Lepisosteus oculatus: one gene and its partners. The protein of the gene in region 3 interacts with the protein of the main gene of each other region in a pairwise test. Links are inferred from orthologs where the notes say so. Each region holds a gene or a part of one and is shown on either strand. Other genes may lie near its edges. The genes, in order: cyb561, dolk and eda.

The links.
Region 1: the proteins of eda (region 3) and cyb561 interact in binary tests that used the Homo sapiens proteins (3 or more experiments, as listed by UniProt). The two-hybrid records come from large-scale screens. The link is inferred for Lepisosteus oculatus from reciprocal best matches to the Homo sapiens genes EDA and CYB561.
Region 2: the proteins of eda (region 3) and dolk interact in binary tests that used the Homo sapiens proteins (3 or more experiments, as listed by UniProt). The two-hybrid records come from large-scale screens. The link is inferred for Lepisosteus oculatus from reciprocal best matches to the Homo sapiens genes EDA and DOLK.

Annotation. Positions count from the first base shown.
Region 1 is NC_090723.1:4,082,495-4,086,247, reverse strand, and holds the start of cyb561 (transmembrane ascorbate-dependent reductase CYB561), read right to left. Parts: upstream 2,267-3,753; coding exon 2,059-2,266; intron 1,593-2,058; exon of another isoform or gene 649-1,592; intron 1-648. UniProt on the Homo sapiens protein: Transmembrane reductase that uses ascorbate as an electron donor in the cytoplasm and transfers electrons across membranes to reduce monodehydro-L-ascorbate radical in the lumen of secretory vesicles.
Region 2 is NC_090719.1:7,423,280-7,427,032, forward strand, and holds the start of dolk (dolichol kinase), read right to left. Parts: upstream 2,591-3,753; 5' UTR 2,483-2,590; intron 2,449-2,482; exon of another isoform or gene 2,089-2,448; intron 1,590-2,088; 5' UTR 1,462-1,589; coding exon 1-1,461. Other genes in the region: nucleoporin NUP188, read left to right, coding at 2,748-2,773, 3,654-3,708. UniProt on the Homo sapiens protein: Catalyzes CTP-mediated phosphorylation of dolichol, the terminal step in de novo dolichyl monophosphate (Dol-P) biosynthesis. Dol-P is a lipid carrier essential for the synthesis of N-linked and O-linked oligosaccharides and for GPI anchors.
Region 3 is NC_090703.1:44,538,243-44,541,995, reverse strand, and holds the start of eda (ectodysplasin-A), read right to left. Parts: upstream 2,190-3,753; 5' UTR 2,035-2,189; coding exon 1,723-2,034; intron 1-1,722. UniProt on the Homo sapiens protein: Cytokine which is involved in epithelial-mesenchymal signaling during morphogenesis of ectodermal organs. Functions as a ligand activating the DEATH-domain containing receptors EDAR and EDA2R. May also play a role in cell adhesion.

The DNA of each region.
Region 1 (3,753 bases), on a different chromosome or scaffold from region 3:
AGTTCTCAATACCCTCTCCTCTTAGTCACCTTTCTGGGCTTGAAATAGACTTGGAGTCAACATCTTTAATGTGGTTTGTCTCCCTTGGAGACCGGAGCTGTCAGGCTTCAGCCTTGCTGGCTGGCCAGTGAGGTACAGCAGCAGGCGATGAGGCCTCGGGAGATAACGACTGGGCCAGACTGCACCCTGTGCGTCTAATCTTTCCTGGCCCCCTGAGGCCATTGCTGTGAAGTGTTCTGAGTGAGAAAATGAAACGGCTAACTTACTAATGATCCCGTGGCCTTTAAAAGTTAACCTCCTAACTGAATTCACAGTGAGGGTTTGAGAGCCTGGGGCCAACTGCTGATTCAATTTACTTAGTAAAAAGGCCCGGCTGTGTTTTTTCTTTGTCCTTTATGTTAGAAAAACAGGCAAAATTAGAAGAAACAGATGTGATTTAAATAACATTAAGCATTTAGTTTATCTAAAAACCACAGGCTGAAGGGGGAAGAAAGAGCTCGGTGAAAACGGCAAAATGTCATCATCTTGTTTTGTTCATCGTTGATAGATTTTAATTCACAAGAAGCTCAGGATGGCATATAAAGCAGCAGGTGAATTTGTAATTTTTCAGAGTCCTGTATTATTAAATTATTTTCATTTTCTCCTTAGAGAAATGACATTTTCAAGGAGCAAGGCAGTGATGAGCACTGCCTGGAGACTCTCTCCTCCATGTGAGAACAGCCAAGGCTCAGCACTTGGGCAGAATGTCACCCTGTTCCATTTCAGCTACGGCGGATTCTAATTGCTGTTTTTATGGTTCGTTTGCTTTTCCGGAAGGCCTTCCTGGAGACCTGGGTCGAGCCATGAAAGGAGAGAAAAATGGACAGTTTGGAGGTGTTATTAGATGGTCCGCACAGGAAAATTCAGACCCATTTCTAAACACGAGATCAGTCAGTTTCTCAGTTGGATGAGAGTTATTCAGCCCAGACCCTGTGGTCCGGCCTGAATTCCAGTCTGTCCTCCCTCTGAACGAGGATCTGGATATTTAGCCAGTAGATCAGCTCTTGTCACAAGTCTGAGAGCACAGGAGACAATCGGCCTCCTGCCTTTGTAAAACCTTTGTGCTATTTGGGAATGAAAATCATTTATCTTCCCATGAAACCCCTAGTTGATTCCTGGCATCAGCCACAGAGGCACCTCTCTCGTCAGTGGGCAGGTGTCCTGCTCACTTCCTTGTGGTTGACCAGTCAGACCTGTCCTGGATGTTTTTAAGATGCGAGAGGAACTTGTCTGGGAGAAACGAACCCCCATGCCATCCCATAGCCAGTAAGACTCCGAGGCAGCAGTGTGCTAGTGAATCATTTACACTCTACAGCCACACCTGCTCTTTCGTTCTTCGTGTGTTTACTTTAATCTCATCCTAAAGGCATGAGGACACCGATTCCCATTGCCATGGCCTCCTCATGCTGACCCTAAAGAAATATCAGTGCTGATCCAAGCTCAAACTGAATACTCGTCTCAGTTCGTTCAGAGTGCGGTACGTTCAGATCACGCTGATCATTTCACAGGAAGAATAATGCTATGGGGAACAAAGGGTAAGTGTAATTAACTGCCAATATTTTAACTCGACTTCCAGAAATATCCAGTCTTCGTCTTTCATGGGGCGTGCAGGACAGGGAGACTGTATCGTACCGTGCTTGGTCAGCGCAGGGTGACCCGGGTGTCGGCCTGATCAGACCTGATCTGTGTGTCTTTGGGAAGTTAGAAGAAGGAGAGTGCCTGGTAATAAACAGGATGACCCCCCCCACCCCCGTTAGAACATGCAGACTCCATACAGAAGGATCGATAAGGCTAGAACTGAAACCAGGATTCCTGGGGCAGCAAAATTAATCTCTCTGTCACTGTGCTGTCCACTACAGCCAGTGATTCAAAGCTATGTAAGTGGTGTCTCTTCTGTCATTTCCATACTTCGCTTGTTGGATACTGAAAGTTCTGATAGTTGCTGTCAGAAACAAATGGGATTCTGTACTTAAAGCTTTGGAAATGGAACCCAGGCAGTGGGAAATGTCTTGCACTGACCGTCCCCGTACAGGAACACCAGTCCGATGACCATGCACAGCGGGTGGATGTTGAACTCCCTGGCGGTGCCGTCCCAGGCGTAGCCCCCCTGGTAGTGACCCATCCACACCCCCGTGAGGACCACACACGCCAAGCCGAACACCTGGGAGCCCCCCACCAGCCAGGGCAGCTGAGAGGGGCAGGACTGCTCCACCGGACTGTCCGCCATGCTCTGGGAGCGCCGGGTCGCGAGGGCTGGGAAAGGCAGGATGAGCAGTGGAGGGGAGAGCGATGGGAAAAGAGGCAGCAGGAGAAGAAGGAACACAAGGAGGTGGACAGAGAAAGAGATCTCAGTTAATCAGACACGCAGCAGGTGAGAGAGCGATTGGAACAGATGATTCATTCATTTACAGTGTAGCTCATACCCGAAGGCAAACAGCAGCCATTGATGTTATCAGTTGAAGAAGCCACTGCCGGAACGATCAAGAACACGCACAGGCTCTTTTACATGAAAACTTGTCATGTGAAACCTCGTCCAGGCACATGCAAAGTAGCCGGTTATGGAAAGTGAACTGGTTGTGGTAGCAGTCTAGACCCGAAGAGCTGATAAGGGAAATTGTAGCTGCAGATCCCTTGGCTCTGTGGCAGAACTGAAAGAGTAATTAGATCACTTCTAATCACCTTTCCCCAAGACCAATCTGTATTTGCGACTTAAACCTTTAAAACGGTGCAGTGAGAGTTTTAGACGCCAGAGACAAAAGAACCAATAAGTTTATTCTCTCGTTCCAGCCACAGAGTACAAAGGCACAGCCTATTTAAGAGTGCATTAACTACTGCATTGTCTCATTAATGTAATCTCAGGTATCAATGTAAAATTTTATCTTTTATTTGCTTATTTAAACCAATTACATCCTAATATTAAGAAATATCAATATATTCACATATTGCTTTGTTCTCTTTATTAGTGATTCAGATTTACACATTTCGGTAGCGGCATCAAGAATGCTGTGTTGATTGCACAAGACTGAAGAAGGACCCTGGACTGCACCAGCAATCAAGAATTGAAATCTTTTGGATGGTACTGTTCTGTGCTACAGTTCTGTTCAGTCCTCCATCACATAAAACCGGGACTCATCCAGTAACATGACTAGCAACTCCCAACATCTTAGAAGTAGTTTTGAGGAGAACATCATGTGTCCGGCCATGCAGGAATTACTGAAGCTCATGTACAGTATGATCCAGGCGTGTCCAGGGTGTGAACCACTGCATGACACAGCACAGACCCACACAGCCCAACAGGGAGCCCTCTGTCCAGACCACCTGCCAATTAAATCAGGTCAATCAAAGATTGAAAAAAATCAGATTAATTAAAGCCCCGTTTTCCTTCCAACATGGGTTAGGAACAAAGATATCCTTGTAAGGGGTGAGTGGGAAGTGTTCCCAGGGCAAAGTCCTAAAATCCTATAGCAGGTGGTCTACGTTCCTATACCCCTGTTTAACAGAAGCCTCATTTTGATTGAACCGAAACCTTGGAAACTGATGGAAAATGAAAATGGAACATTTTAGCAGCTTCACTAATCCAGCCACAGCCCTGCCTGTCAGTGCTGAGGACCGACAGGGCAGCTTTTAGGAAACTGCAGCTCAGAAGCCAGGAGAACAGACATGGCACCTACCTGCTGTTTGCCGTTCCACCTGTTTGCCCAAGGGATGTGATCA
Region 2 (3,753 bases), on a different chromosome or scaffold from region 3:
GCTGGTGTTCAAGTTAATGGCCTCATCAAAAATGAGGAAAAGAGCAATAGCAATAATCTGGGCGAAGATCGAAGTGGCTGTCCCTTCCATGGTCTTCTTGGTCCCGGGCCACCGGACCTCTCCCATGGTGCTGCCGAACACAGATGCCATAGTGTCCCCAACACCGACGGCCAGCACACCAGCATAGGGCACCAGTCCCCCCACTCCTGGGAGGCTTCCTTTAGGCATGCAGGGTCCAGGGTACAGCCATATGGGAAGGGACATCCCGAGGAGAAGGTAGATGTGGGTGAGGATGAGGGGCCCGGAGTCTCGCTCATCCAGGAACAGAGACAGCAGCTGCCGGAGGAGGTGCCCGACGGGTCTGATCCGAAAGTAGCGGACGTACTCCAGGAGGAGGAAGGCGGCCAAGCAGGTGACGGAGGCGACGTGCAGAAGCTGACGGTCGTAAATCAGCCCGGGCACGTACGTGGCCACCACAATGAAATGGAAGTACTTCCTCACGACTGTAGAGGCCTGGTGCTTCTTGGACCCCAAAGACCTCTTGTAGTTCTGGTGGAACACCACCAGAGACGCCAGCACTGCCAGCAGGACCCAGTAGGCCAGCAGGCAGAGTCTGTTCTGACTCAGGAGGAGGAAGTCGATCAGCCACATTAAGGGGTGCCTTCGGATCAGGAGGGCAAGCCATGGCATGATAATCCCCAAGCCAAGAACTGCCGTCATCATGTGGAAAAACAGGGAGGACACCCAGGTCTCCGACTCCATGAAGCAGAAGAGCAGGGTGAAGAAGATCCCCAGCAAGAGACATCCAACCACGATCACTAGCAGGAAGTAGTTGATGGGATCTCCTTTGGATTCAGGGGCATTCAGGGAGCGCTTAATGAGCTGGTTGATGATGAAGCTAATACCACCGATGATGATGAGGCCCTCACCAGGAGTGAAGCAGCGAGGCAGGAGGTACAGAATGATCAGGCTGAGGTAGACGAAGATCAGAAGCACCTCCAGCACTTCAATGACTTCAGAGACCGTTAGGGTTTGCTTGATCGTGTAGATCACGGCGCTACCAGCAATGCCAGAAATGACACAGGTGTTGGTCGGCACAGGCCTGGTGATGCCGAGGGCAATCAGGGAGAGAAACAGAGCCAGCATCATCCCTGTCGCGGTGACCACCATTGAAAAGCGCTCGAAGTACACATTTCCGGAGGCTTGGCAGCGCTCTTTCAGGGCCAGGCCAAGTAGAGGCATGATCATGCAAGCGGGCAGGATGCCACTGTTCGCAGAGGGTCTGAACTGAAACACAGCCCCGCCAGATTTCAGGAGGCGGTCCCATTTGTACTGGACATAGAAGGCTTGAATGGCCAAGGCAATGGAACACCATGACAGCTGATTCCAAACCACAAAATGGACACACAAAACAATAGTGAAAACAATAACTGACTCCACGAACACAGGATTCGTCAGCATGGTTGCAGATCCTGCAGCTTCAGGGGTGCTTCTCAAAACTGCTATTTATCGGTATTTTCTTGCATCCAGGGCAGGCCACTTCCTTGATGTAATGCTTCACATTTTTCCATTCTTCATTCTTACGCCACCTATCGATATATATATATATTACAGTGTTAGTCTCGGTCGGTGGAATGATTTAACTCTATAATTCTGTCACTTTTTCTATAGCGTATTTGCAAGCCGATGTACCCTCACGGACACGAGAGACGTCACCAATTAGAAATGCCAACGGCCAGGGCAAAATACTACAATTCTGTCGTAATAAAAGTAAGCAAATCATGGAAACGTGCTTTTACTCCCCACGTAATAAAACATTTAATAAAACTCTTCGTCATCACACATCCGCGGAGTATCCGGTTAGAAGAGAATAAAAACGTTCTTTTATGGTCGTGTAATGTCGTCTTTCAAGACGCAGCCCGACGAAATCCTCGGATCACTTAGCTTAGTACTGTATCGGTATCACCCAAGCGACTTAGATCAGCAGGATGGCCTCCTCTCTTTAAAACATTAATGCTCTTTGTTTCAAACACCACTCTGTTCCTAACAAAGCTTGTGAAACATGTAACAATTTGACAGTCAGCTTACCTTAACGCTGTGCTTTTTCATAAAACCACTCCACTGAAGTAGACTAGTACTGACATTGTTAAACGGCTATTGTATAAAACAATGTATTTCAGACAGCGTTTTTTGGCTGCAGGTGCGTAATTTCCTATCCATAGTTAAAAGCTTCAAAATTGAAAACACGAGAAACGCATGGATATTTAAGAGCTCCACGGTAAATGCATTCGAGTCCGCTTTAACTGAGGCCTTTTGTGGTTTAACAAGACTGGTTGGTAGCCAATCGATTGTATGAAATTACAACATAACGGAACTGGGTGCAAGGTACAAGATATCTGACATGCAAGCAACATCCCCATGAATTTGCAAAAGCCAACTGATAACACTACCCAGATATCATAAAATGTGTTAATTAACTTACTTCACATGTCCACCGCGATCATAACACGTTTTGTGCGTACTTTCATTCGATCGTATAATTTTTTTTTTAGTCTTTAACATCTAGGAGGCGGCCATGTTGACAGCTTGATCACATGAATAGGGCGGATTTTATTTTCTGCTTCCTACACAGTGATCGCATCTCAGTTGCCGGCTTCGGAAGTGTTTTTTTTATTCTTTCCAACCCGGGGCACCCGTCACATGACCAGGGTGTTCGACCGGAGGAGGTGTCACGTGTAGGGGGGAATATGGCGGACTCGGAGATGTGTGTCAGGTACTTGAAAGAAAAGCAAAAGTGTTCTTTTAATGTATGGCATTGTACAAAACTGATCATGTCTGAATGGGAAATGTAATGAGGAAGGATAAAATGAAATGAATGAATAGTTATTTAGACGTTTGGACGTTTTCCTTTTAGTTCTTACTTTTATAAATGGGATGGCTATTACAATGTGGAGGGAAAAATGTGTGCTGTTTTCTGCCGCATGTTAGTGAAATTTTTTAGAAGGCAGTTAACATTGCTTCTTATTCTCATTGGCAGGAAATATGTATATAACAAGTACCATGTTCCGAGATACTCCAATAATGTTCGGATCAAGAACAATTAACAGTATAGAAAAAACTTGTTGAGACTATATAGTACGGTGGTCCTATTATCTAGGTTTATTGCCAATGTTATAACAGAAGTAATTGCTTAAAAACTAGATTGAAAACGTGCCTAGTTCTTTGAATGAATGTAGGCTATTGGTTCCTAAAATTCATGCGAAGGACGATCCGTTACGCTGCATCCCTTTAATAAAGACAATTTAAAAGAAAACAAACGTATACTGTCAAAATGTTGTAACTTCCATTAACACAGAACTGCCGAGAAATGTCAAAACAGTTGAACGCGGAGGTTTGAACATACAGTAACTTGAATCTGATTTTGACACTTTCAACTTTGGAGTAAAGTATTTTTTTTCCTTATTTCTGACCCTAAAAATCGTGTGTAGCGTCCAGACGTACCAGTGAGATGTGAAATGTACGTAACAGTGTTAATATGCCGCAGATGTGTAAGCTTTTAAATGTTCACGTTTATCTCTAAGTATAAGTGCGTGGAATGTCATTTATGATTATTTTCGTCACTTTTATAGGGATGAATGCGTTTATTTTTGTAGGACCAGCAGAGAACTTTGGACGATCTTGTTGGGAAGATCGGCTTTGAGGGAACCGGTAACGTTTTTTTCCGTATTCTGTTTGCATGAATATGCAACCCTT
Region 3 (3,753 bases):
CATATTGTAAATCTGAAATCTTCCTGTGGACAGGCACTCACAAAACACCTGTTTTATGACCCCAATTTTTTCACATAGAAAGTTACACTAAAGAAAATCAGATACACATGTTAGCAGTAAATCAAATGTCTAAAAAAAGGATTTGCTTAAGCCAGTTTATGTGCTCGTCTACTTGCCATATTTTCTATTTTAGTAGTGCTTCATTTAGTTTTTCTAGAGGTTCCAAATCAAATACTTCTCACTACTCACTGCTTACTTACTTCTCTAATTTTTCACAATTTAAGCACAGGTTAATCTCCTCTAAATGTTAACCACTGTAGCTTCAGGGTACAATATATTCAAGGGCGTGACAAAGGTATTGCATATGACACATTCATAAATGTAGTCCCCAGTAACTTAACATTAGCCTTTAATACAAAGTCAACAAGTAAGCTATGCTATTCATGTGCTGTAGTTAAAAGTGCTCTACTGTAAATGGGCAAATCTTTTAAAGGCATGGGATACATAGACTTGCTCTTTTGCATGAAATCTGGCACCAACTATAAATCTTCAACAGCTAATACATCACTGACACAGTAACTCTCCGTCAAAGCAAACAGTACCTGTTATCTGACTTGTCTCATTTGAGAGCTAAACATTTCCAGAGCGGGAAGGTACGTATACCAATGGGATCATCTCTGTAGTGCAGCACTGTTGTAGAACATTACATACTGTTTCTGAAACTTTCATGTTGAGCTTGGATACATATTTTTTTTTATTTCATTAGTTCAACTATAGCTCTTCACATGGCGAAGGGGATACCGAAGTAACCTAAAGTTAGCCACTATTTCAGTAATATCTGAACCAGGTAGGGTAAACTTCATCAGTGCATGCAGCAGTATATGAGGGTTCTAGGAACAAACCCCTCAAAACTATGTAAAAAACGTTCAGTCATAAAAAGCTCATGTGTAAAAGGCCAGTTAAGTCTACAAACTTCTGTTTTCTCTTTTTCCCCCCTCCACCGTATAACAGCAGCTGTTCCAGTTCCAAATGTATAAATTTGCATTTCAGGAACATGTGTACCGGTATTGTATTCTAAATTCACAAATCCTACTGTTCTCAATACATCATTTCACATTGGCACAAGTTGAGGAGTAACTTTAACCACAGAATGGTATGGTGGACGCAGAAAGACGTTTTAATTTCTCGAATCAAAAAAAAGTAAAAAAAAACTAAAATACAGTACTTGTCTTATCTTTGTTACTTTTAAATCTAATTGTTGGAGCGCCATATCATTGTCGATTTCGAAACCTTAGCCCTTCGGCAAAGAATTTTAACTTACCTTTTACCTAGCAGGATGAAGAGAGATCGCGGTTTAACAGAACGGAAGCTGTTATAAACCTACTCTTCACAGAAAACATTTGTGCTTCAAAGCGATTAATTTCTATTAAATAATCTGTGCATTTCATAAATGTGATATATTAACAAAACCGGCATCCCCTTTTTTTTAAAAAAAACCAAATGTGACTGGATATAGTTTTACGCAACCAATCACAGTCGTTACAAACGATCAAACTGATCCTTAAATAAAATGCTTGACTGACGCTCTAGTTGAAGAAAAATAAACTGCGGTGGACCACAATGTTCTTCTTACGATTTCTAGACGCTCTTATTTTAGATACAGCTTTATCGCTTTCATCGTACAGATGCCGGTTTATAAACAAATAGTGTTATTGCGATTACCTCTTGGTCCATTGTAGGGTAGCTGATGTCCAAAAGATGGTATTCAGGGGAAAGCGGTTCATTTAAGTCAGTTGCACCCGGCGTCACAATTTCATCTCTGTTTTTCTGTGAAAGCTCGCGTTTCACTTCAGATCTGAGATCCAGATAGCAGAAAAGTGTGATCAAATGCAACGAGAGGGACAATACGAAGAATCCCAGGAAAATCTTACAGTTGTTACATTGTTTCCTGCACATGCAGGTTGTAGGAAGTTCAGGTTTCAGTGCTTTCTCCTCTAAGTTTGCAACATTTTCTGTTAAACCTTTAGATGCCATTTTTTTGTAAATAGAAACAGGTAGTGCTATTTCAGCATAATCAGCTGCTTTCTGGGGTCTGATCCACTACTGATCAGTAACTTTGAAGCAGAAGCCCACATGAAAACCACTCCTCTGATCTTTTTCCTTGATCAGAATAAGTAACCAAACTAGCAAACCGCGTCAATCACTAGTAACAATCCGGTTTTAGGATCCGCCTTTAGCGTTTCTGATTGGGGACTGGATACGTAACGGAGGCAGAACACAACCCATTTTCCCTCCTCTCTTCCTTCTTTCATATGCTTTCTTTTCATGTGGAGTAGTTGCTGCTTATGAAAGGGTATACAAAAGGTCACGTCATTCATTATGGATTACTCGAAGAACTTTGCCCATGAAGTTCATATTGTTACTCACGCAATTTGTTAACTGACATGGTGTCTAAAGCAGAGAACTGCTGAAGTGCTGACCTCGGGAAAAGCAAAGAAAGGTTCAGGCAAAGCAGGAAGCACTTGCTATTGTGAATCAAGCACGTTTGCTGCAAAGAGTTATTGGGCGGTGATGAAATGCACGTGGCGATTTGATATACAAACGTAATTTTATATATATAAAAAAAGATACATTTTATAAACCTGACAAAACAGTAAGCGTGCTCTGGAAAATTTCAAATCGCAGTTGTATTTTGAAAGTTCTCCATCAAGTGTAATCCGTTTATAGAATATATCTCATATTACAATTACAATAAATAAAGCAAAGTGAGGGGGGCGTGTAATAATTCTTCTAAATTTACGCTGTAGTTCAAATGTGGCTATTATTTTGAGAAAGCTAGGGAATTAAAATTTTGATTAATCTCTTACTGTCTTACCTTTAAATTATGCATTAATATACCCTACATCATAACGTTGGCAACTTTTATGAAAGCTTAAAAAACTTTAGTTGACTACTGTTTATTACTGAGTACTCTGTAGGAGAAAGCATGAAAATCCTTTACACGGAGATCCATATTATACAGCTGTTTATTAAAGAATATCACCTACTCATGTAACATATTCCTAGTTACTCCTACTGTACATGGCTCCCTGTTACAAAACATAGCTGCTTTTTTTAAATGTTCACATTTAGTAACTTATATGTTCTTCAGATCACATTTATTTGATTTGCTGATCAAAATTAAATGATCAAAGTTGACTTACTTTCCATCTCAAAACTTTAATTAACGTTATTGGAATGCTTCTTCACATCTAAATCCAGATCTATACATGACTGAAATGATTTATACTGTTATAATTAAAATTTATTTTTACACAACAGGAAACTTTTTGTGTGTTTTCCCTTCACTGAGCTCAAAGATTAAGTAGGGTCTTTTTCTTTAGCTTTAATACTTGCTGTGTTTGAAACTTGTACAAGTTAGTAATTATGCACCAAAATTATCACCAAAAGACTTTGCAAGTACTTTATAAAATAAAAGCAAGAACATATGACACATGCATTTTAATTAAGGAGCGCAGAGGCTGTCTGATGGTATAAAAAAATCTCAAAATAGACTAAACATCTGGAGATGACACATCTACTAGTGTGAGACTTCACGCAAATGCTTGGAAAACATGCATTTTCCTTGTCATCTTTTAGTGTATTTCACTTGAAAGCAATTTAAAAAAGGTCTATTAAAGATCAATTCTTTTGAGAACAGTAAGACTTCTTAACTTTCTTTTAAAATTCCTTAAATTTAATTATTCTATCAAA